Arabidopsis thaliana: one gene and its partners. The protein of the gene in region 1 purifies or fractionates together with the protein of each later gene. This does not show direct contact. Each region holds a gene or a part of one and is shown in the gene's direction. Other genes may lie near its edges. The genes, in order: CLUB, EXO84B, SEC15B and SEC6.

Region 1 (5,037 bases):
TTGCTAGTCGTGATGCAGTATGGTGGAGATAACAAATGTAACCTATAGATAATAGCCTTTTTACCTTATCAGTGTACATTCAGATCTTTTTACAAATTCACTAGGTAGCTCCGATCTTGTAACGTATACCAAATGCTCCAGAACTAACACCAGTGACTATCTTACAGAAGAAGCAATCTACGAAACTCAGTAACTTTATTTGACAAGTTTTCATCTGAACTTGTCATAAAAGTAAGAAGGTAGTGCCTACATCTCAGTTAGATTTGATATCTAAACATTACCCAAGAGTATAGATAAAAAAAATTTTGGCATGTTAACCAGATTCTTCCTACATATTCCCATTCTTTCCTAAATTTTCCTCTGTTAACATTGTAACCTTTCCTAGTCTGGACCAAAGCAAACAACAACAAAAAGTATAATTGAAGCTTCCTTTTTAGAACTACTGCACTATTTGATTTTCAATGTTTCATACAACAACAAGTATACAGTCACCAACTTACGAAATGAGGGGTTATAGAAGACATAATTTCTTATCTGCCTTTTCCCAAGTCAAGAATCATAATACTTGGATGCTAATGATACTTAATGTTGCCTCAAACTAAACCGAACAGAGGAAAAATAAATCAAACAAACTCACTTAGAAAAGTTTATCTTCAAGGGTCAAAAGAAACTTTCCTCTGGACTAGAGTACTTTTAATCTAAAGTCTAAACGCAATCAATGGGTAGTGTAAACAATGCAAGAAATAGAACGATGTCGGCGCTTCTTTGTCCCATGTGTAGGGGAACAATAATCTTCTAACATATATTACAGCAAATTAGCCATAACCACCAAAAATTATGATATATACTATACAACTAACTTCAGTAAATAGAAACAGTTTCGGCAGATGAAGAAGATATATACAAATTCATAGAACGAATACACTAAAGCTAGGAAATCATCTATGTACATGACCATCATCCTCAATTTTCGGGTAAGCAAGGCAATGAACATGGACAGCATTTCTCACTAAATCGACAAAATCATCTTAGTTCAGCTATAAAAGGATCTCATTTTCCTGTGCTACCATCTATGGCAATCTTTTTCACAACATATTCACGTGATCACAAAATTCACAACACTCACTACACTACTGAATCTAAATCTGACACATCAACAGAAACATCCATGAAAAAAATAACAACGAAAGCAGCTTATCTAATCAATCACTGAATCACATAGAGATAGAGATAATTGATCCCTGACCTTTGATGTGTTCATGATGAGCAGAAGCAGAAGCAGCAACAACATCTCCATCATCATCTCCACCAGACTTGACAGTAACAATAGGCACAGGTCCATCACGATCATCAGGATATCTAACCACAACAACAGGACAAACACAGTGATGAACACAGTAATCACTAACAGAGCCAAGCTTGCCATCACTTCCTCTTTTTTTCTCAGCACCAAAACCTCTACTTCCCATAATCACAGCACTAAGACCAAGCCTCTCAATCTCAAGACATAATCTCTCTCTCATATCATGATCTTTCACTATATGGATCTTATAAGGAAACCCTAACTCCTTCAACGGTTTAGCTAGATCCGCAACTTTTGTTGAAGTAAAAGCATCAAAATCCTCTTGACTAGGTTGAGGTTGAGCGTTTGGATCTTCAATTTGAGTTTTCAGAGGGAGAGGTCCCCAATCGGCACCGAAGAGGACGGAGGTTGGAGAAACGTGGAGAAGAACAACGGCGTCTCCGGGACGGATGTAGTGATCTACAGCCCAACGAACGGCGAAAGAGCTTTCTTCGGAGAGATCAACTGCGACTCCGATTTTACGACGAGCTCCGGCGGTTGGTGTTGGAGTTGCGGCGGAGGAGGGAGTAGATGAGGAGTGGTGATGGTGAGAGTGACGTGGAGATGGAGGGTGATGGATCTTGATGTTTGGAAGCTGTGGATGATCGGAATCTGCTGGATTCATGATTTTTTTCAGATGTTGTTTTTGTTCGTCGGAAAGTGGGAGTGAGGGAGGTTTCTCTTAACGGAGAAGAAAGAAGCGTTGTTTTTGTTTTTTTAATAGAACATTAGACTGCATGCCGTTATTTATATACAAAGACGACAAGCATTCTAATATAGATGTAGTTAATAGAAGGAGTGATCCAACGGTCAGGATCAAATCTGAGCGCCATAGTTTTGAAGAAGACGATTCACTAGATCTCCGGCGTCGGTGATTTCCTCCACTTCCTTTTCTGGCAGCTAGAAGACGAAACCTCACTCAAATTCTGATCTCTTTGTATAATTCGATCGAGTTATTCGTATGATTCGTATAGATCGGTGACTCAGATGGCGAACTACTTGGCTCAGTTCCAGACGATTAAGAATTCCTGCGATCGTCTCGTCGCCGCCGGTGAATTTCTCCCCAATTTTTTTCAAATGTGTACATTTCTAGGGGTTTTGTTTCTCTACGATTGCTGCATTCGATTAGGATCTTATTTCTCCTTTTTTTTTTCTGCCACATTTTGCGATGTCATAGCTATATATTAGTGGAAAGTTTCTCAATGTAGGTGAAGGATCAAATCAGATGATATGAATCTGTTAGGTTGTTGGTTGGTCAGGTTATACTCATGAATGAAGCTAAAAGTGCTTAGAAATGAGCATCCATTCCTGAAGGGAACTGATCATGATGATTTCTTTTGTTTCTGATCTTAAACTCTACTTGTTCGTTAGTATTAAGATGTCTTCTCTTTATATTGTTCCCGTTGCTCGTTGTAATAGTGGTTGCTTGCATATTCTTTTACAGTGGAAGATGTGTGTGATCTGTGGCCTACAGTGAAAGGTTTATTTGAAGAACATCAGCCATTAAAAAGAGCATTCTTGACTAACAAGACTCGAAATCCGGTTTTTGTTGAGAACTTGCCGGTTGAATTCATATTAACTACAGACGCGAGGCTTCGTAGTCGATTCCCGCAGGAGCAGTATTTGTTCTGGTTTCGAGAACCATACGCAACTATAGTTCTTGTCACATGTGAGGTACTTGCTTGTTGATATGATGATATGTGTTTTTTTTTTCTGTATCAATCTTGGCAGTGGAGAGTAGTCACGTGCCAAAATATGAAACAAAGATGATGTGCTTGATGATATTCGTTTCTGTTTTCCTTTTCTATAAGAGATAAGAACCTATGTTTAGATAGTAGGTACCGTTTCTAATGTATATGGTTTCTGGATTAGGTTAGATTTATCACTTATGTGGTTCGACAATTTTTGTTCTTCTAGCTTTTCTGAGTATACCTTTGACCTTGCAGGATCTTGATGAGTTTAAAAACATTCTCAAACCACGTCTGAAATTAATTGTTCAGAATGATGAGAGGGAATGGTTTATTGTATTTGTATCTAAAGCTCATCCAAGTAATGATCAAGCAACTAAAAATGTCAAGAAAGTATATGCGAAGCTTGAAGTTGACTTCAGTTCAAAAAAGAGAGAAAGGTAAGCTATGCAGATTGGACTGTGTTTATGTTTTTTTGCTCTGATACAAGCAGGCACGAACCGAAAAAATACCATGCCAGATTCCTAATGAGACTTGATTGCTCCTACTATAGTTCTAACATAAATAGATTAGGTTAAACAGTTTGCACGATTGCAATCACTCATATTTTTGCTAGATGCATAAACTAAACCCATTTAGCAGTAATCACTCATTTAAAGGAAGTTATCTTTAAGTTATATACTTATGGAAATGCAGACGGGATAAACGCTAAAACACCTTTTTATTTACTTGATCAGTTTTACTTCATTTATGCATGCCATACATAGTCTTCATATGATAATTTTTGCAATGCTTTTAAGGTGCTGTAAGCTGGATGTACATGGCCCTGAAGGAAATTTTTGGGAGGACCTTGAATTAAAGATTACCGAGTGCATCAGGAATACCTTGGATAGGCGCGCACAATTCTACGAGGATGAGATACGCAAGCTCAGTGAGCAGCGGTTTATGCCAATATGGAACTTTTGTAACTTTTTCATCCTGAAGGTTAGCTCTCTTCTCAATTTGTGAATGGAAAGTGACATGTGACTTCTACGCAAATGAATAAAATGGTTTAAAATCCTGTTTCTTCCTTTTTGTAGTTAGATTTTATACTTTTTTAATAAAGTCTCTGATGGAGATTTATGTGCCCCTTTTGTTTCTTCCATAGAAGTATGAAAATAATCCCCAAGCTTAGAAATCAACATTGGTCCTTGCAGTCACATTTGATGAAACTTTTCTCATTTTCTTAAAGGTCATAATGTTCTATGCTGTCTCAGGAAAGTTTGGCTTTCATATTTGAGATGGCTCATCTTCATGAAGATGCATTACGTGAATATGATGAACTAGAGCTCTGCTATTTGGAAACAGGTTCTTTTCCTACCTCTATATCTCTCTCTTGCAGATCCGTGGCAGCAAAAATTTCATGTTTTGTCTATTTGTTATATTTTATATTCTTAGGTTTTGACAAACCTGACATGTATCTTTATCTCTTAAAGCATTTGGGATCAGTATTCATCCAACAAACTGATTTCTTTTTTCAAGTTTTTTTTTTCTGAACAAATAATCTATCATGCATCACCTTCAATGCAGTTAATATGCCTGGGAAACAGAGGGATTTTGGAGGATTCGACGGTGAAGATGACCAAGCTGTGCTGCTGAAACCAGGAAGCAAACCATTGACACAGATTGTGCAAGATGATTCTTTTAGAGAATTCGAGTTTAGACAGTATCTCTTTGCCTGTCAATCTAGGGTTGGTGCACACAAGAGACATCATATCGATCACAGTGTCCTTTTCTCCTTTCAAAACTGTAGCTTTACTTTTACAACCTTTTCATTAGCTTACCTCTATGTGGTTCTTTGCAGCTGTTGTTCAAGTTGAATCGTCCATTTGAAGTTGCATCTAGGGGATATTCTTTTGTTATTAGTTTTGCAAAGGCCTTGACCCTTCATGAGGTAGCCTATACTGTTACTAAAGAAACGCTTATCTTACTTTTGGTTAGTTGATTTGACCGACCTTATTTCCTCTC
Region 2 (6,852 bases), 1.8 Mb from region 1:
AACTGTTACAAAGACAGGAACAAAGTACATTTGTAGTTTCAGACGTAGTCAGCGAAAAACTATTTCGTAAGCAGTTGTTAAGATTATATTACAAATGAAGGTATAAACAAATATGTAAAACCAGAGACATAATATGAGGTGATAGTAAGACATACCACATATAGTTTGTACAATATTGATTCCACATCTTCACCAACATAACCTGCCTGGACAAGAAGAGTAGTTTAGTTATGCTAAGAGCAAGACTTGTGTTAAGATTCCTCTAAAAAGCAAGAAAAACATCATCACTTCATTCAAAATATTTTTCGAAATGAGGGATTGTAAGGCATCCATCCTAGTGGGCCTAATGCTTCCCTAATGTACAACATACTAATGTTCTGAGTACCCAAACCTTAAGAGGGATAAGTGAAACAACTTGCCTGAGTTAGTGAAGTCGCATCAGCAATAGCGAATGGCACATTGACAATACGCGCCAAAGTTTTTGCCAGTAAAGTCTTTCCTGTTCTTATAACCAAGCAAGAAACATAAAGGCCAAGATCATTATCATACTAAACAGTATCTCCAAATACTCTCCAAAACAATATGGCAAGCAACAATATGCACCTGAACCAGTAGGACCAAGCAACAACACATTACTCTTATCCAACTCCACGTGATCAATATTATCATCCTCCATATCAATGTTATATGATTCTGAAGCAGACCTGTTATTAAAAAAAGAGCAAAAGAATCGAGCTTTGTTGTATCCCATATAAAGTATCAGAATGATAAGAGCATGGAAGAAGACAAACCCTTTTTTCCTAGAAGCATGATATATTCTTTTGTAATGATTATAAACAGCCACAGAAAGAACCTGCACAAAAGGAAAGATATGTAAACAAGAATCTAATTTAGACACAAAGAAGAAGAAGCTAGGGACCGAAACCAAACCTTCTTAGCCTTCTCTTGACCAATGACAAACTCATCAAGCCCTTGACAAATTTCCTTAGGAGTTGGAAGCTTAATCACAGATTGCTTCTCTTTATCACCACCATTACTTTCATCCTCCTCCTCATCAGCATCCTCACCATCTTCATCGCTTCTAAGACCTTGAATTTTCCAATTCCTAGGGAAAGATTTCTGATCATCATCATCATCATCATGGTCATCATCAGTTCCTTTAACTTTCCCGAGTTCAATAAAACTCCCTTGTAAAGGAGAGAGCTTGAATGGTCTAAAGTAAAAAGCTGTTTTGCATTGAGAACAGAAATTAACAGCTTGATAGATCCCTGGTTCTCTTGCTGTTAGAGACAATGGACGATTTGAGAAGATGACGTGCATCTGAGCAGAGCAACGAGGACAATTGACGTCACTTCTGATGTGATCATAATCATCTCCGCCGCCACCTCCGCCGCCGCCGCTGCAGGAGTCCCAAATACGGCGGGAGAAGGAAGAGGAAGGGATTAGGGTGTTGGAAGAAGGGCGTAGAAGAGGGATGTGAGGAGGAGAATCAACGGAGAGAAGGAATCTGAAACTGCGAGAGAGAAGAGATGATGATGTTATTGTCTTCCTCGAGACAAATCTGGAAATGGATAAGCTACAAAACATCTCTCTCTGTTGTCTCGATGATATGATTCTTCAAAGGTTTTTGCTCAGATTTACATTAACGGCAATCTTAAAGTAAGCATTCTTTAAAACGGCGTCGGTTTAGCTCAAGTGATGGCAGAGGTGAAGGATAAAGGAAAGCCTCCGTGCAAATGAGAGGGTTTCTGTTTTGCCGTTTACTAGTAAAAAATCCAGTAAAAAAAACCCAGAGTCGTTATTTTATTTATTAGTTTTCAACAAGAAAATTCGTTTGTTTAAGCAGACGAAAAAGCCAAGCTACCGTCGTTGGCTAAATCGCTCTGGTTGCCAACTCGATCATCATCTTCTTCTACCCACTTTCTCTATCTGCTCTCCGTATCTAGGAGCTCCCTCAGATCTGTGCTTAATTCTCCGGTAACATTACCGGCATCACTGGGATTGCTGATCTGGAACCGCTGTGAAATTTTAGGTTTTCTCTGAGAAGACAGGCAAGTTTAACGATGGCGGCGAAGACGGCCAGATCAAAAGCTACGCCGACGAAGGAAAATGGTGTCAGAGTCGAGGAAGGATTGAGTCTGTTCAAGTCTGATAAGTTCGATGCTGATGCTTATGTGCAATCCAAATGTTCTATCAACGAGAAGGTTTTTTTCTGTTCTTTTATCATTTCGTGTTCTTATTCTCGTTGATTTGTTGTTATCACGAGTGAGAATTTTCTAGGACTGAGTCTGTGGGGACTTGTTCGTAGATTTGGGATTGTATCATCGCAGTGTTCTTGTTTTGTTGCATTTCGTTTTAGCTGTAGGAAATCGTAATTGTGGAATGGATATTAGGTAGCAGCAGATTTTATACGCTCGAGAAGATGATGAGCAATGTAACAATACTCATTGCTTGTATGGTTGTTCTTGTGATCTTCTGGAGTTTGAAGGCAGTTTGTGAATTATGATTATGTAAAAATGTTACTCTTAAGAAATGCTGATAGGTTTAGTACCCATTTATAAGCTTTTAGCTTGCCAAATGATGTGTTCAGTGTAATACAGAATGTAGCTCATGTGAATATACATGGATGACTATGTCTTGTATCAGAGACAGAATCTGTTGTTCTCGTTTTCTGTTACAGAAAAGATTCAATTCGGTTATGGTATTGGGTATAAAGGGTGTCTCGTCTGTGTAGTCACTTTCTGTGATGGTGTGAGAGAGCTGAGGGAAAAGTTAGTTTAGGCCTTCTAGAGTTTACTACAAAAAGAGTAGTGTTTGATTTGGTTAACATAGATTGTTGGATTACTTGGCTGGACTCTTTGTTTTTTCTCAGTTATTTTGGGATGATGACATATTTCTGTTCGGTTCACAGGATATAAAGCAGTTATGCTCGTATCTATTGGATTTGAAGAGAGCATCTGCTGAAGAAATGCGGCGAAGTGTTTATGCTAATTATCCAGCCTTTATACGGTTAGCTGATATCCTGTCTGTTTTTAGTGCTTGGTTATTTTCTTTGAAGTTGATGTGATAATAAAGCTCTACTTTTTCAAGTTATTTCATTTCTTGTGGGTATTGGTGCATTTGCGTTTTGCATATGACTTCTTTTTCCTCGCACTACCTTATTGTTTTTTCTTGGCGGTGTGTTATTTTGAAAATTAAACTTTTTTCTGTTCTGTGCAGCACATCTAAAGAGATATCAGATCTTGAGGGGGAGCTATCATCTATCAGAAATCTTCTCTCCACTCAGGCGACTCTAATCCATGGCTTAGCAGATGGAGTTAACATTGATGACGATAAAGTTTCTGATGAATCTCTTGCGAATGGTTTATTGAATTTTGAGGACAACGGCCTCTCTGATCTGGAGAAATGGGCTACGGAATTTCCTGACCACCTTGATGCTTTATTAGCTGAAAGAAGGGTGGATGAAGCTCTGGCAGCTTTTGATGAGGGAGAAATTTTAGTATCTCAAGCAAACGAAAAGCATACTTTAAGCTCTTCTGTACTTTCATCTCTTCAGTTTGCTATTGCCGAACGCAAGCAAAAATTAGCTGACCAACTTGCCAAGGCTGCTTGTCAACCTTCAACTCGAGGTGGGGAACTTCGGTCAGCCATAGCAGCTCTCAAAAGGCTTGGCGATGGTCCTCGAGCCCATACTGTACTTCTTGATGCCCATTTCCAGAGATATCAATACAACATGCAAAGTCTTCGTCCTTCTAGCACCTCATATGGAGGGGCGTACACTGCTGCACTTTCTCAGCTTGTGTTCTCAGCTATCTCTCAAGCTTCTAGTGACTCATTGGGAATCTTTGGGAAAGAGCCAGCATATAGTTCTGAACTTGTGACTTGGGCTACTAAGCAAACAGAGGCGTTTTCCCTTCTTGTTAAAAGGCATGCATTAGCTTCTTCTGCAGCAGCGGGAGGACTAAGAGCTGCCGCAGAGTGTGCACAGATAGCTCTTGGGCATTGTTCTTTGTTGGAAGCTCGTGGTTTGTCCCTTTGCCCAGTGCTTTTAAAGCACTTTAAGCCTATTGTGGAACAGGCATTGGAGGCAAATCTTAAGCGAATTGAAGAAAACACTGCAGCTATGGCTGCTGCAGATGATTGGGTACTGACAAGTCCTCCTGCTGGTAGTCGTCATGCTAGTACAGCATTTCAGAATAAGCTTACATCCAGTGCCCACCGGTTTAATCTCATGGTCCAGGTAGACTATCTTGACAAACACTTTTCTCCGAAATTTTCAGCCTTTTTCTAAAGTTGTGCTAGAAAAATAAAGTGCTTAGGAAATGCAGACATGCCTAGAAAAATGAAATATTTTTCACTCTTAGACGTCTGGTGTGTCTCTTAGATATGCCAGTATCCCATGAAAATTGCTTATAATATGAGTTTACACATCAGCTGTAAAATTGACTAGCCATCGTTGATGACGATTGATTAGAACTTGCACTCGCGTTCCCACTGAAAAGTTATTATAAACTCTAGGCAGTACCAATTCTGTCTTAGCTGCTCTGATAGGCAGAGGATTCCCAAGTGGACTGTCATGAACTTTGGATGTATTTGTCAAGTAGATCCTTTTGATAATGGTATTTTGTTGCAGGACTTCTTTGAGGACGTAGGACCTCTGCTAAGTATGCAATTGGGAAGTAAAGCTCTGGAAGGTCTGTTTCGGGTGTTTAACTCATATGTAGATGTGCTGGTAAGAGCACTTCCTGGTTCGATAGAAGAAGAAGATCCAAATTTTGAAAGTTCATGTAATAAGATTGTCCAAATGGCTGAGACGGAGGCAAACCAACTTGCATTACTCGCAAATGCATCATTGCTAGCGGATGAATTACTTCCACGTGCTGCCATGAAACTCTCTCTTGATCAGACTGGTCAGAGGACAGACGACCTAAGGAGACCTTTGGACAGACAAAATCGTAATCCTGAACAACGAGAATGGAAGAGGCGTTTACTTAGTACTGTTGACAAGTTAAAAGATGCGTTTTGTCGCCAGCATGCCTTGGATCTCATTTTTACTGAGGAAGGAGATAGCCATCTGTCTGCGGATATGTACGTAAACATAGATGAAAATGGCGAGGATGTGGACTTCTTTCCATCTCTGATATTCCAGGTAGTTGTTGTTTCATTTCCATCAGTCCAGTTAGCCTTTATGAAGTACTGTACCCAGATGTGTAGTCACTTGGGAACTCTTATCGGCAGATTGGATACTGTAGAGTTGAATCCATGTTTGTCATAGTCTACTGTCCACTTCAAGAACATGATTTTTTTCTGTCTTTTTTAGCTTAATATTCTTATACTTTGGGTGTTGCGTCGTTGGAAAACAGGAACTTTTTGCCAAACTTAACAGGATGGCAAGTCTAGCAGCAGATATGTTTGTAGGAAGAGAAAGATTCGCCATATCTTTGTTGATGCGATTAACAGAGACTGTGATCTTATGGCTTTCTGGAGACCAGAGCTTTTGGGATGACATTGAGGAAGGTCCTCGACCTTTGGGACCTCTTGGCCTACGGCAGGTTTGTACACTCATTCTTGCTTCTGTATATGTATATTCAGCGAGCATCGAAATTGTTGTGTACCTTTGTTAACAAACAACCTGCATCTGTCACAGCTGTATTTGGACATGAAGTTTGTCATATGCTTTGCATCCCAAGGTCGCTACCTATCGAGGAATTTGCACAGGGGAACTAATGAGATAATATCTAAAGCCTTAGCAGCTTTCACCGCAACAGGGATAGATCCATATAGGTACATCGGTTTTGAGGGTGTTTTGCAATGTTTTAGCCTTTATGGTAAGTATAAATGATTAAAATGTGGTTGTGAATGATGTGCAGTGAGCTGCCAGAAGACGATTGGTTCAATGACATATGTGTGGATGCGATGGAAAGATTGAGTGGCAAGACAAAGGGCAACAACGGGGATGTCCACAGTCCGACTGCTTCAGTGTCAGCTCAGTCTGTTTCATCAGCGAGATCTCATGGCAGCTATTGAAACCAAACCCATCTTACATTTGTTAAGAAGGTGAATGGTCAATAACTTTTGATCTTCTCTTTTCAGCTCTGCTTTTCCAAAAGCTTTCTATTTTGTAGAGTCTCCAGTTGTTGATGAGATGATTTTGGGGGCGTGTAAATGTTGTTGAGTTGACATGTTTGTTTTCTTGTATTGGTCCTCTCTCTCTCTCAATGGATGCATTCTTTGGGTTAAAATATTGAAGAGAGTGTTGATCTTTCTTCTCTATGATACACTCTCTTTCTGTTTTGGTATTGGATCAGATGTAGCAAACTTGAATGAGATATCTTACGATTCACTTTTTGTATTTCCTACTCGAATCATGTAGTTCATAGCGTAAATTAGTTTTAAGTAAATCGTGTTGTGTAAACTCCTAGTCTAATTCTTGGTACGGTGGGTCGGATCTTGGGATGTACAAAAGTTTGAATAATGGGTAAGGACGGTTACCTACCACATGGACCCTTAAAGGCTTGGTAATTTGGCCACGCATGCCCGATAAGGCAATAATCATTCGCGAATGAGGCTTAGAGATGCTAGAGTCATCCCTCGCCATTGATGCAAACACCTCCTTTGCTTCTCTACATGTTTGAGATTCATGTTTTGACAGATGACAAACAAAAGTAGGTGGTGATACTCAGGCTGTGAATGGTAACCAAAACCGTATCGCAACAGTGCTGTAACAGTATCAAAATCTTTACATATACATATGTATCTATGTATTTTCGTTCCTATTTGAACCGCACCGCACTTCTTCCGCACCGCAAAACGCAGTCACCATTCGGAGCCTCAGAATGTATAAAACATGGC
Region 3 (5,116 bases), on another chromosome or scaffold:
TGCTTCAAGAAAGTTGAGCTTTTTATGTGTAAATGTATACACAATGAGAAATTTCTTAGCCACTATTAGTTTCTGTTTGTGTCTATAGAAACAGAGACCAGCCACCTACCTATACATAGCTGAACTTAGCTCAGGCTCTGACTCTGATAATGCAAGTTGCTATTGATGATTAGAAAAAGGCAATTAGTGCTTACTTTAATATAGTGCAGTCAAAGTCAAAGTCATTTACTTTATTTGAGTTACTTGCTTTAAGTAAATGTAGTTGGATCAGTCTTGTGGTCTTCAATTGCTTAAGTTGGTCCTACTAAAGATTTTGAGTTTCTTTTTTCTCAGGAGCCTGGAGAGATCGAAGAGGACTTTGCTCAAGTTGATACAAAAAAGTTAATAACCAGATTTTTCACTTCGCGTAACCCACGTCCACCTTGCATTCCAAAGTCAGTTGGTTTCAGAGGTTTACCTGATCCACCTTCTTTGCCCGCTTGGCTCACCGAACAAGATGTCAGGTTCTACGGAGACAAGTTTAGCCAAAAAGGCTTCACCGGTGGGCTAAACTACTATCGCGCCCTGAACCTGTAAGTCTTATGAATTCTAGCCACCTATTCTACATCATACAATCATCTTTTCATGGTTAATCTTGGACTTGAATCAATCTGGTCTTATCCTAACCTGCAGAAGCTGGGAACTAACAGCTCCATGGACCGGTCTACAAATCAAAGTCCCTGTGAAATTCATAGTGGGTGATCTAGACATAACATACAATATCCCCGGAACAAAGGAATACATACATGAAGGTGGTTTGAAGAAGCACGTACCTTTTCTACAAGAAGTGGTGGTAATGGAAGGTGTAGGTCACTTCCTCCATCAAGAGAAGCCTGACGAGGTCACTGACCATATCTATGGCTTCTTCAAGAAATTCAGAACCCGCGAAACCGCATCCTTGTAGTAGTTCTCCGTCTGCACAATGTCAAATTCAAGGTTGATTAAGCTTGATCAGGGTTACTTACTGTCTTAGAGCCCTACTATGTAATGTTTTCAAGGATGCTATCTGTGTATTGTGCTTGTTTAATAATTTAGCAAAATATAATAATAGAACAAATAATTTCTCAAATGTTGGCCATCTCCAGTTCAATATATCCTTAAACTTTTCTTATGTCCAAATTAATTTTCAAAATGTTGAATTCCTATGGTTTCTAGAAAACTTCAATTAAGCATAGATGATTTTTTTTAGGTGAAATTAATATCAAAAAACTGAAATATATGTACAATTTTATCAAAAATTATAAATCTACTAAGGACATTTATACCTACCAACTGAATAAATTCAATAAAATATATAATACCAATGTTTTTTTTTTGTCAACAGAATTGGTGTATTAATTTTTTGGCAGTGGATATTTTCAACAAAATCTAAAGCGCGTTCGACCACGCGCCTGTGACGCGTAAAACTCAGTTTGACAAATATTCACAATTAATTGAAGACGCCAGTCAGAAGAAAAAACCACTACGCAGCTTGAAAAGACAAACACACCCTCGTCTTCTTCCGTCGCACCGCTTCTACAGCAATGTCATTTTAGTCAAACCCCAAAATTCGAGCTCCCTTTGAAGAAAAAACCACCAAATCAGTTTCGTTGTCCCAAATCCAAAATTCCTCCTTCTTCTTCGCTGTAACGCTTTATACCTAATCGGAGATAAAACAATGCAATCGTCGAAAGGACGGCGGAAAGTTGGCTCCACAACCGCCGGAGCCGGTATAGATTCGGCGGAGAAGCTCGACGAGCTCTTGATATCGTCTGCCATTTGTAACGGTGAAGATTTAGGACCATTTGTTCGGAAAACTTTCGGTACAGGGAAACCAGAGACTCTTCTTCACCATCTCAAGTTTTTCGCACGATCTAAGGAATCAGAGATCGAAGAGGTATGTAAAGCTCACTATCAAGACTTTATCCACGCCGTAGACGATCTTAAATCGCTTCTCTCAGATGTTGAATCGCTTAAATCTGCGCTTTCCGATTCAAACTCTAAACTCCAATCTGTTGCGGCGCCGCTTCTTTCGTCTCTCGATTCGCTTGTTGAGGCTCAGACTGTGTCTAAGAACGTCGATCTGGCGATTGGAGCGGTGACTCATTGTGTTCGTGTTATGGAACTTGTCTCTCGAGCTAATCAGCATCTTCAGAGCGGTAATTTCTACATGGCGTTGAAATGTGTGGACTCGATTGAGAGTGATTTCATGGAGAAAACTCCTTCGTCAACGCTGAAACGGATGCTTGAGAATAGGATTCCGGCGATTCGATCTTATGTGGAGAGGAAAGTGAATAAGGAGTTTGGAGATTGGTTGGTTGAGATCCGTGTGGTGAGTCGGAATTTAGGTCAGTTGGCTATTGGTGAAGCTTCCGCGGCTCGTCAGCGAGAGGAGGAGCTCAGGATCAAGCAGAGACAAGCGGAGGAGCAGAGTAGACTTAGTCTACGCGATTGCGTTTATGCGCTAAACGAAGAAGAGGATGATGAATTTGGTTCTGGCCATGAAGGCAGCGATGGTGGTAGTTCCGGAGGTGGATTGCTAGGTTTTGATTTGACACCACTTTATAGAGCTTATCACATTCATCAGACACTATCTCTTGGGGATACTTTTAAGCAGTACTATTATAACAATAGGGATCTTCAGCTTACCTCTGACTTCCAGGTATCTACTATGACTCCGTTTCTCGAGTCACATCAGACGTTTTTCGCACAGATTGCTGGGTTTTTCATAGTAGAGGATAGAGTTTTAAGGACTGGAGGAGGGTTGATTTCGAAGCTGGAAGTGGAGACTTTGTGGGATACTGCTGTTACTAAGATGTGTGCTGTGTTGGAGGATCAGTTCTCTAGAATGCAGACGGCTAATCATCTCTTACTGATTAAGGATTATGTGAGCTTGTTGGGGGTGAGTCTACGCAGGTATGGCTATGCTGTTGATTCCCTTCTCGAAGTATTAAGCAAGCACAGGGACAAGTATCATGAGTTGTTACTATCTGATTGCCGTAAACAGATCACAGAAGCTTTATCAGCAGATAAGTTTGAGCAGATGTTGATGAAGAAAGAATATGAGTATTCCATGAATGTGCTCTCTTTCCAGTTACAAACATCAGAAATAGTACCGGCATTCCCTTTCATTGCTCCATTTTCGACCACCGTCCCAGATTGTTGCCGGATTGTGAGGTCTTTTATCGAGGATTCGGTTAGTTTCATGTCTCACGGAGGTCAGCTTGATTTCTATGATGTAGTGAAGAAGTATCTGGATAGGCTTCTAGGCGAGGTTCTCGATGAGGCTCTGTTGAAGCTGATTAGCACGTCGGTTCATGGAGTTTCTCAGGCAATGCAAGTTGCAGCAAACATGGCCGTATTTGAACGAGCTTGCGATTTCTTCTTCCGTCACGCTGCACATCTTTCAGGAGTTCCTTTGAGAATGGCGGAGAGAGGTAGGAGGCATTTCCCATTGACGAAATCTCAAAACACTGCAGAAGATACACTCTCAGGAATGCTTAAGAAGAAGATAGATGGTTTCATGACATTACTCGAGAATGTCAATTGGACAAGCGACGATATACCACAAGGTGGGAATGAGTACATGAACGAAGTGTTGATCTACTTGGAAACTTTGGTTTCCACCGCACAACAGATCTTACCCGCTAAAGTCTTGAAAAGGGTTTTGCGTGATGTCCTTGCTCACATTTCTGAGAAAATCGTTGGAACGTTATGCGGGGATCTAGTAAAAAGATTGAGCATGGCTGCAATCAAAGGACTTGATGTGGATATTCAGTTGTTGGACTCGTTTACAGAGAACCTAACTCCATTGCTCACGGATAAAGAAGCAAGAGAGATGAAAAAAGCGTTTGTCGAGATAAGACAGATGATCAATTTACTTCTGAGTAGTCATCCTGAGAATTTTGTAAACCCGGTGATCAGAGAAAGAAGCTACAATGCTTTGGATTACCGGAAAGTAGCCACGGTTTCAGAGAAATTCAGAGATCCATCAGATAGTATTTTCGGGACTTTTGGAACAAGAGGGTCGAGGCAAAACCCGAAGAACAAATCTTTAGATGCGTTGATAAAGAGATTGAAAGATGTGAGCTGATGATGGATCCCAGCACAAACCCAAAACGTAAGTACGATCCCGTCCTTTGTGTTAATTATATGATTGCTTTGTATTTCATTGTTGATGATTCGTTGGTCTCTCAAAAAGAAAGGCAAAAAAAAAAACACTAAAACTGATTTCACCCCAATATTGTTTTTTTTTTTTTTTCTTCTTCCATTAATAGCATTTTCGTTAATGAGTTCAATAGTTTGATTTTGAATTGCAAAGTTCATGTCACTGCAGCCTTTCACTATGCCGTAGCTTTTTACCGCATTAAGTCATCAATCGGATCCTTAGTACGGTTTTAGTTACGATCATGAAATAGTAAAATCAGTCCAGTGGAATGCAAACTTGGCTGAGTTTCTTTATTTCAATCAAGGTTGGTTTGGTTACCACGTGATCGTCGTTTTTCCCTATTAACACGTGTGCTCTCTCTGTCAATCAAATCGTCACCGTACATCTAATTTGCATGGTCTCTTCATCAGACAGTCCAGAACACACAAACACCTAACAACTGTTTTCGTCTTCTGTACTTAATGAGACACTTCAAAGCTTATGCTAAATTAGACACGAATCATAAGAGCAAAACTTAAAGAAGTAAAGAACCATGTCGCTAGACGCGAATACTTGTTCTATCGTCTTCTTTCTATTCTTCACTGTCTCTTTCGCCGTCTCCGGCCAAAAGCCAACCGCTTACGACGCCGTCAAACTCTATAACTTACCACCAGGAATCCTCCCAAAAGGAGTGGTTGACTATGAGCTTAACCCAAAAACAGGCAACTTCAAAGTCTACTTCAATGACACGTGTGAATTCACCATCCAATCCTACCAGCTCAAGTACAAATCAACTATCTCCGGCGTTATATCACCCGGTCATGTCAAGAATCTGAAAGGAGTTAGTGTTAAGGTTCTTTTCTTCTGGGTTAATATTGCTGAAGTGTCTCTTGACGGCGCCGATCTCGACTTCTCCGTCGGAATCGCGTCGGCGAGTTTTCCGGCTGCTAA
Region 4 (7,567 bases), on another chromosome or scaffold:
GAATATCATGCAGTGGATTCTTCTAAGAAATGGCAAATAATATGGTTCTCTACTGTTTTATCTCTTTTTTGCCGGTCACATTCTTTATACTTTCTCTCTCTCTCGACATTTGCTGGGATTTTCTGTGTCACACAAATGGCACCAATCTTTTTGTACGTTTTTTAAGTATTTATATGTCATATAAATGTACTTTATTTAGCTACTAATCATATTTTTTGGTTAGTGACTAAAACTGTATCATTCCAAACTATTCATAATAATTACGTTTAAAACTTAAGAAAAACATATGAAAAAGTTTGTAGATTGTCTGTTTATTTATCTGTCCTTGGATGCTTCCTTTGAAGAAAAAGAAATTTAGTGTATATATAAAAGAGATAAAGAATATATCACATCCACATATTTGGTAATTGATATATAACTCTGTAGATCTTATTCCTTTTAGATACCAATGACTCTTCTTTTTATGTAAACCATCAAAATCTGAAACAAGCTGAATAATGAAATACACATATCTTAAAATATATTTTTACTAGTAGTAGTAATTAGTAAATATCATAATATCAGTTTGTGGAGTATTTTAGAAAGAATTCGAACATAATATATTTTCGATTTTTTCCTAAATGTAAACTTTCGAATTTTCTCTAGTATGTTCTTAATGAAAAAATGTAAACTTACCAAATGTTGCTGATATATTTACAAAAATGTAAAGTTAGTGTCGACGATACATGTATATAAATATAATCAGTACACGAAAAAAAAGGTTAAGAAAGATTAGAGATTGGTGGTGTGGTGAACAAGAAGATGGACATGTATCATTTGACAGAATACATCGGCGTGGTATCGGGCGTCCTTATGGTAGCTCTTGCTTCGTGCTTGTATGGCCATTACCTACGTCGCATGGTATGTCCATGTTGTGAACCTAGACTACCTAGTGACTCTAATGCCTAACTATTATCATTTTGCTACTGATTATATTTATATAAATGTATTGTCGAAAATTGTGCGTCCGTTTATCCTCTACGCTAAACGGACTCTAGATGAATAATTATTTGTTTCAAAATATTGTAACTCTATTCTATTGATATTTATGAGATTTTACAAATTTCTTTTCAAATAGTTTGTACTTGGAAGCTGTCATTTTCTTAGGCTTTGTTTTTCTTTTTCGTCGAGTTCAATATTCCATCCATCTCATCGATTTATTTCTTATATATTACATGTACTACGTTATGTGCAAAACTTTGATGATATCACAACTAATATATCACATCCAAGTTTTGCAAAGCATGTCGTCAAATTATAAACTTATCAAAACATATGCAACCCCATTAATATCAAACGTATGTAACATCGCTAGATAACCAATCAGACCCCTACGACTAATATTTTCGAATTCGATACGTTATGGTAAGATTTAAAATCGATGATATTTTAGTGACATTTCAAATGATTAAACATATAACAAAAAATAAAAAATAACACGAACCCGAGCATGGGGTTAAGATTTGCGTTTTGCTCAACGAATTAGCGTTAGCGTTTGCAAAAAAAAAAAAAAAAAAAATAGGTTTGCATCAACAGCTGGCAAAAAAGAAAAAGAAAAATCAAAACCGGCGAGACGGAAAATTTCAGCGTTTCCGAACTTTCCATTAGAGTCGCGAGACGATAGATGAGACTCGTTCCAGAAATTTAATCGTTGCTTCTCTTCCCAGCTGATCTGCGTCCAACATCACTGTTTCCAGGATCTTCAGAATCAGCGAAGGAAGAAGATAAGAGGACGACGAAGTAATTGAAGTTGGAGAATCGCACATTTGGCTCTCGATATTTGCTCAATGACTTCTTATTCGGTTGCGTCCATTTTTCCTCTACGTTTCTGTTTCCAGATCTCTTGATTCTCCTCTGCGTTATCGTAATTGTGCTGGAATTTTGAATAACTTTGCAGAGGTAGCCTTCAATTTAGGATCGGAGTTCGTAAATAAGGTGATTTAGCGAAGATGATGGTCGAAGATCTTGGTGTGGAAGCGAAGGAAGCGGCTGTGCGAGAAGTGGCGAAGCTCTTACCCTTACCTGAACTTTTGCAGTCTATTTCTTCAATCAAGGCCGATTACATCGCTCGTCAACAGGTTTGACATCTTGCTTTTGAATTGCAATTGGAACTGAATTGGCTTTTGAAGTATCATTTGCACTGAGTATTAGTGATTCCTGAGCAATGCTAGATTTGAGTTGTTAGGTTTTGATATGCTATTGTTATCTTTTATTTTCGATTTTCTGGAAATTTTTAATGACCTGACTAGTGATGCTTGCTGTTTCAATCAGGCAAATGATGCACAGCTCAGTACTATGGTTGCTGAGCAGGTACAGCTTTAATCTGGCCTTCTTTGTACTTTAATGTATTTCGACTTTTTTGTTGTTCTTAAGTAATAGCTGTTGACAAACTTCAGGTTGAACAAGCTCAAGCTGGGTTAGAGTCACTTTCATCATCTGAGAAAACCATTTATGAACTGCGGGATAATTTCATTTCTATCGACAAGTATGTTTTTGCTTGACTAGAGATTCTTGAAGCTGAGTTACCAACTTTTGCATTTCTCTCCCTCTAACTTCTCTTCTTGTGCCACAGGCTTTGTCAGGAATGTCAAACTTTGATTGACAATCATGACCAAATAAAGCTGCTGAGTAACGCCAGGAATAATCTAAACAAAACTCTAAAGGTAGATATGCCGATGAGCACTGATTGTATTGCTTACAGTATTTGGTTCAGTGTTGTCCTTCTAACTTATTCTTGAACGCAAATATATATAGCTCTGCATGGTCGTCTCAGATGTTTAAATGCTTTCCAAGTTTTTGTCAACTTATTTTTACCTCATTCTCTTTTTTCAAGGATGTAGAAGGTATGATGTCAATTTCTGTTGAAGCTGCTGCGGCTAGGGATTCTTTGAGTGATGATAAAGAAATCGTTAACACTTATGAGGTAGCATGAGTTCCTCTTCCCATGGATTCCAGGCATTTCTGACTGCATCACTTTGAAAAAAAGAACGTTTGGTGTAAGACATAATATTCTGTTTTTCTTCCATAGAGATTAACAGCACTTGATGGTAAACGAAGATTTGCATTAGCAGCTGCTGGAGAGGAGGTTGGGAGGCTGAGGTTTGTATATATTCCACTCGTTTCCTTTCTTTGCTTTTTGTACTTACATGAAGTGAGCCCGAAAGCTTTAATTCAAGAGTTACTGGTGTGCTATGAAAGAAAATAGGTCTCTATGCTAAAGTAATGAGCAGTAGGTAGAGCTGTTACTCTTTTGGTAGTGCATATGATGATTTGATCCCGCCTCTGGACTGTCTTTTCTTTTTACATGAGCATGCATACCAACTTCTAAAGAGTTGTTTTGATGGGTTCAGGGAGTATTTTGAAGATGTTGATAGAACATGGGAAACATTCGAGAAGACACTATGGGGTCATGTTTCCAACTATTACAAACTTTCTAAAGAAAGGTATTTTGAGTAAATATATGATTATGCTCAACTTCTCCGTGTAATTCCATTTTTTTTAATTATTTCTACTGCCTTATTTTAGAACTATGATTCTTGCTGGTTTTTTATAAGAGTAAGGCTAGGAAGTTAGATCAAGGATGCAAGCAATGTCAAAAGATGAGATGGACATAGTTGGACTGTACCCTTTATTCTGTAGCTATATATGAGCATTTATATGATAATACATAGTTTATGTAATGCTCTGTTCTCTGTTTTATGTTCTTAGCCAGACCTTGGGGATTAAGTACACGTTTAGACTTTGCTCCATGTTGAAATAAGCTATTTTCCTGTTGTTAAGCTCTTAATTCTGCTAAGATATCAAATCTTACATATCCTTTTGGTTTATCTTAAACTTACTGATGTATCTTTGTTCTGCAGTCCGCAAACACTGGTTCGTGCTTTGAGGTATGATCCCCCACCAGAGACATTCTTTACCTTTGTCTATGGCATATATTCCCAAATTATTACGTTTCAGTAATTTTGTTGCAAACAAATCTATTTTAATTAGCAAGGAAGATAGTGTATACCTATTTTCTGGTGATTAGCATCAAGATCAGTTCAAACTGGTTTAGTAGGACAGCGAAGTCATTGTGTTACTGTGACAATCATTTTTAGACAAGCAAATTGTTTCTTTTTACTTCCTTTAATGCAACATGCATTGCAATATCATGGATTTTATTTTGGCATTAGAAGTTTCTTAAACACAAAGTCTCCTATCCAGAAGAAAATGAGTAGACTAATTTAAAGTGAACTAGTTAACTAGAACTGGTACTAACTTTCAATGGTTTATTCTATCAAAGGGTTGTTGAGATGCAAGAAATTCTAGACCAACAGCTTGCTGAAGAAGCAGCAGAGGCTGAGGGAGAAGGTGCGATGGCATCTGTAGCAAATCCTCGAAGGCCTGGCAAGTGAGTCTGATATTTTTTGTTCGTATTTGTCTTGATTTGTTGTCTTATCTGTTATTCAAAATATCTTTCACTTTTTTACTAGGGGTTTGACTAAGCTATATTTTGCATTGATTTAATGTCCTGAAAAGCAATGGAATTTTATTAAAGTCCCCATAATCATTTGTGACATGTCCTATATTTATTCTGTTGAATCCAGGAAATCTACTACAACGTCAGCGTCGTCAAAGGGTCTTGCTCAACAGAAATTAAAAGTCCAAGGGAAAGGCTACAAGGACAAATGCTACGAGCAAATTCGGAAGGCGGTTGAAGATCGATTCAACAGGCTTTTGACGGTGGGACTTTCTTTTTGAAAATTTCATTTGATGGCATAGCTACAAGTAATGTGTTTCTCTGTGTGGTCATCCTAACACTGAACTATTGAACAGCTTGTCTTTGAAGATCTAAAAGCAGCTTTGGAAGAAGCTAGAATGGTTTGTGCGACTGTTTCCCTTGCTTTCATACACTTTTCTTCATTTTTTCTTTTCTGCAGTTTATGAAATTATATTCAACTATCTAATATATTTTTGTTTCTCAGTAGATCACCTTTAGTTGACTGAATTAGTTTTTTTTTTGGTTCTTAATAAATATGGTTGATGAACTAGTAGTATGTTACTGTTCTGATACAAAAGTTCCAAATTGGCCTGACCGTCTTATATTACTGTTCCTGTTCCATAATGATTGATGTCAACCTCGTTTTCTTCTGTTATCTTTCACAAATATATATTTATCAACTGGGTTTTCACTTTCTTTTTATGGTGTTCCACAACTAGATTGGAGAGGAACTTGGAGATATTTATGACTATGTGGCTCCTTGTTTTCCTCCAAGGTTTGTTCCTATCTCGTTTTCCTCAAGTGGACAATGAAAGATTACAGCTTAAAATTTATTCTGTTCCCCAAGTGAAAAAGGGTTCCTTAGCAATCTTCTTTGCTGGCAGATACGAGATATTTCAGCTTATGGTGAACCTGTATACCGAGAGATTCATACAAATGCTCAGATTGCTCAGTGACAGAGCAAACGATCTGACAAATATAGAGATTTTAAAGGTATGTAAAGCATGATTCTTAGTTCTCCCATGTTGTGTCGCAACTCAAACTTTGCAGATACTGCTTTTGGTGCTTTGGCTCTGTGTTTTCTGACTGAATATCAAGGACATTTTTAATCAACCATGCATGATATTTAAGTAAATGTCAAGCTAGTCCGAGTTATTTGACAGGGAACACCATGGGAAATTATAAGAGGGGGTACTAATATTATGTGACTGTCTTTGTGTTGCCTCATCAAAATGCCTCATTCGTTTTTTACCTTGTCTCTGTGCATTAGGTATCCTTTAGAGAGTGATGTATCTTTTCTTTCTCTCTTCGATCTTGCTAGGTGACTGGTTGGGTGGTAGAGTACCAAGAAAACTTGATTGCACTTGGTGTTGATGATTCACTAGCTCAAGTGTGTTCTGAGAGCGGTTCAATGGATCCTCTAATGAATGCATATGTTGAAAGAATGCAAGCTACAACGAAGGTAATGACATACACGTTTGACCTACTCTGCTAGTTTTTGACGTTAAAAATTTTTATAATTCTTTTTGCTTAAACTTTTGTTGCCAATTCTTTGGTTGCAGAAATGGTACATGAATATCCTAGAGGCGGATAAGGTGCAACCACCTAAAAAAACTGAGGAAGGAAAATTATATACACCGGCTGCTGTAGATTTATTCAGAATACTTGGAGAGCAAGTGCAAATTGTCAGAGATAACAGCACGGATGTTATGTTGTACAGGATTGCTTTAGCTATTATTCAGGCAAGTTAAAGAGGTTGCAAAGACATTTCTTTGTTCGGCTATGAACTGAAAATATTCCATTTCCTTACTCAGGCTATTTATTTACTATATATACTCAGAAATTTCAAATCGTTCTTTGCTTTCTTCTAAGACTCGTGAAAGTTAATGTTGGAGACTTTACCCATTCCCAGCTTTTTTTTTCATATCTCACCCAAAATCGTTGAATTCCGTTTACCCCCTTTTTTCTCTTTTCTATTTTCCCCCCTCTTTCATTGTGTCTAACTTTTATACTTCTTAAATTTCGTAACTTTTGTAGCATTGTGCATGTTCTAAATTTTGATTCATATTGTGAATTACTTCAGGTTATGATTGATTTCCAAGCAGCTGAAAAGAAGAGAGTTGATGAACCTGCATCTGATATTGGTCTGGAACCTCTATGCGCTATGGTATGTCAAAAGATATGACTCTTTTGATGACACTATTTCTTTCTCCCATTTTCAGACGAATATTTATATGTTAATATTGACTACAGATAAACAACAACCTTCGCTGCTACGACCTTGCCATGGAGTTAAGTAATAGCACTTTAGAAGCTCTTCCACAAAATTATGCAGAGCAGGTAATCCAGCTGCCAGTTTCTGAGCTCAATTTCGTTGCAATTGATTATTTTGTTTGGATATGTCAAATTCCACTGCATCATGCCCACTCTCAGTCCCACTATACTCCACGTCTATGTGCACATACACTCTTGTTTGCATACTAATAAAATGCTTCTCTAATGTGGTGTTTCTGTCAGGTGAATTTTGAAGACACTTGCAAAGGTTTCTTGGAGGTGGCTAAGGTTCGTCAAAGATTCCTTTTTCTCCCTGGTCTTCAATCCAAATATAGTTTTTGCATCTCGATTTATGGCCTTACAGTTGCCCAGATGGCTGTTGAAATGAAATTTCAACTTGATCTTGCGATCTTTAAAGTTAAAATTTATGTTGGATTTTACACAAGTCCCATCTGGTCCTTTGATTTCAGGAAGCAGTGCATCAAACAGTTCGCGTTATCTTTGAGGATCCAGGAGTTCAGGAATTACTTGTCAAGCTTTACCAGAAAGGTATCTACTATTCTGAAGAACTAATCTATTAGCTTTACTAATGTGTGAATAGAGGCAGTCGAGTCGTTGTCACCTCCTTGATACTGTTGCTACTGGTTTCCATTGATTTTTAATAGATAAAACTATTCTCATATGCATTGATTTTCTACATGTTATATAATGTAATAGTTGTGTTCTTTATAACATAATCATTTCAGAATTAAGATATGGTCTTCTGTCCAACTT

The links.
Region 2: the proteins of CLUB (region 1) and EXO84B purify together in Arabidopsis thaliana (affinity purification with western blotting; one study listed by BioGRID). This does not show direct contact.
Region 3: the proteins of CLUB (region 1) and SEC15B purify together in Arabidopsis thaliana (affinity purification with mass spectrometry, with the first as the bait; one study listed by BioGRID). This does not show direct contact.
Region 4: the proteins of CLUB (region 1) and SEC6 purify together in Arabidopsis thaliana (affinity purification with western blotting; one study listed by BioGRID). This does not show direct contact.

What each region holds. Positions count from the first base shown.
Region 1 is NC_003076.8:22,097,727-22,102,763, forward strand, and holds the start of CLUB (CLUB), read left to right. Parts: upstream 1-2,037; 5' UTR 2,038-2,329; coding exon 2,330-2,393; intron 2,394-2,786; coding exon 2,787-3,016; intron 3,017-3,288; coding exon 3,289-3,470; intron 3,471-3,830; coding exon 3,831-4,014; intron 4,015-4,286; coding exon 4,287-4,377; intron 4,378-4,599; coding exon 4,600-4,760; intron 4,761-4,873; coding exon 4,874-4,963; intron 4,964-5,037. Other genes in the region: PHOS32 (Adenine nucleotide alpha hydrolases-like superfamily protein), read right to left, coding at 101-156, 1,247-1,967. UniProt on the Arabidopsis thaliana protein: Specific subunit of the TRAPP II complex, a highly conserved vesicle tethering complex that is required for the proper transport of proteins in post-Golgi trafficking pathways to the growing cell plate in mitotic active cells.
Region 2 is NC_003076.8:20,249,978-20,256,829, reverse strand, and holds EXO84B (exocyst complex component 84B), read left to right. Parts: upstream 1-1,790; 5' UTR 1,791-2,063; coding exon 2,064-2,204; intron 2,205-2,365; coding exon 2,366-2,480; intron 2,481-2,680; coding exon 2,681-2,751; intron 2,752-2,911; coding exon 2,912-3,009; intron 3,010-3,219; coding exon 3,220-4,240; intron 4,241-4,633; coding exon 4,634-5,149; intron 5,150-5,363; coding exon 5,364-5,552; intron 5,553-5,647; coding exon 5,648-5,784; intron 5,785-5,870; coding exon 5,871-6,027; 3' UTR 6,028-6,344; downstream 6,345-6,852. Other genes in the region: AT5G49840 (ATP-dependent Clp protease), read right to left, coding at 156-206, 420-499, 604-704, 792-853, 931-1,587. UniProt on the Arabidopsis thaliana protein: Component of the exocyst complex involved in the docking of exocytic vesicles with fusion sites on the plasma membrane during regulated or polarized secretion. Involved in polarized cell growth and organ morphogenesis.
Region 3 is NC_003075.7:1,036,461-1,041,576, forward strand, and holds SEC15B (exocyst complex component sec15B), read left to right. Parts: upstream 1-1,653; 5' UTR 1,654-1,696; coding exon 1,697-2,680; intron 2,681-2,731; coding exon 2,732-4,111; 3' UTR 4,112-4,138; exon of another isoform or gene 4,139-4,314; intron 4,315-4,354; 3' UTR 4,355-4,604; downstream 4,605-5,116. Other genes in the region: AT4G02340 (alpha/beta-Hydrolases superfamily protein), read left to right, coding at 334-572, 673-943; AT4G02360 (transmembrane protein, putative (Protein of unknown function, DUF538)), read left to right, coding at 4,719-5,116. UniProt on the Arabidopsis thaliana protein: Component of the exocyst complex involved in the docking of exocytic vesicles with fusion sites on the plasma membrane during regulated or polarized secretion. Involved in polarized cell growth and organ morphogenesis.
Region 4 is NC_003070.9:27,008,034-27,015,600, forward strand, and holds the start of SEC6 (SEC6), read left to right. Parts: upstream 1-1,530; 5' UTR 1,531-1,841; intron 1,842-1,936; 5' UTR 1,937-1,988; coding exon 1,989-2,117; intron 2,118-2,310; coding exon 2,311-2,349; intron 2,350-2,435; coding exon 2,436-2,524; intron 2,525-2,611; coding exon 2,612-2,702; intron 2,703-2,872; coding exon 2,873-2,962; intron 2,963-3,067; coding exon 3,068-3,138; intron 3,139-3,389; coding exon 3,390-3,482; intron 3,483-3,836; coding exon 3,837-3,995; intron 3,996-4,321; coding exon 4,322-4,429; intron 4,430-4,625; coding exon 4,626-4,761; intron 4,762-4,854; coding exon 4,855-4,899; intron 4,900-5,238; coding exon 5,239-5,294; intron 5,295-5,403; coding exon 5,404-5,512; intron 5,513-5,840; coding exon 5,841-5,981; intron 5,982-6,081; coding exon 6,082-6,195; coding exon of another isoform or gene 6,196-6,261; intron 6,262-6,602; coding exon 6,603-6,686; intron 6,687-6,772; coding exon 6,773-6,859; intron 6,860-7,036; coding exon 7,037-7,081; and 3 more. UniProt on the Arabidopsis thaliana protein: Component of the exocyst complex involved in the docking of exocytic vesicles with fusion sites on the plasma membrane during regulated or polarized secretion. Involved in polarized cell growth and organ morphogenesis.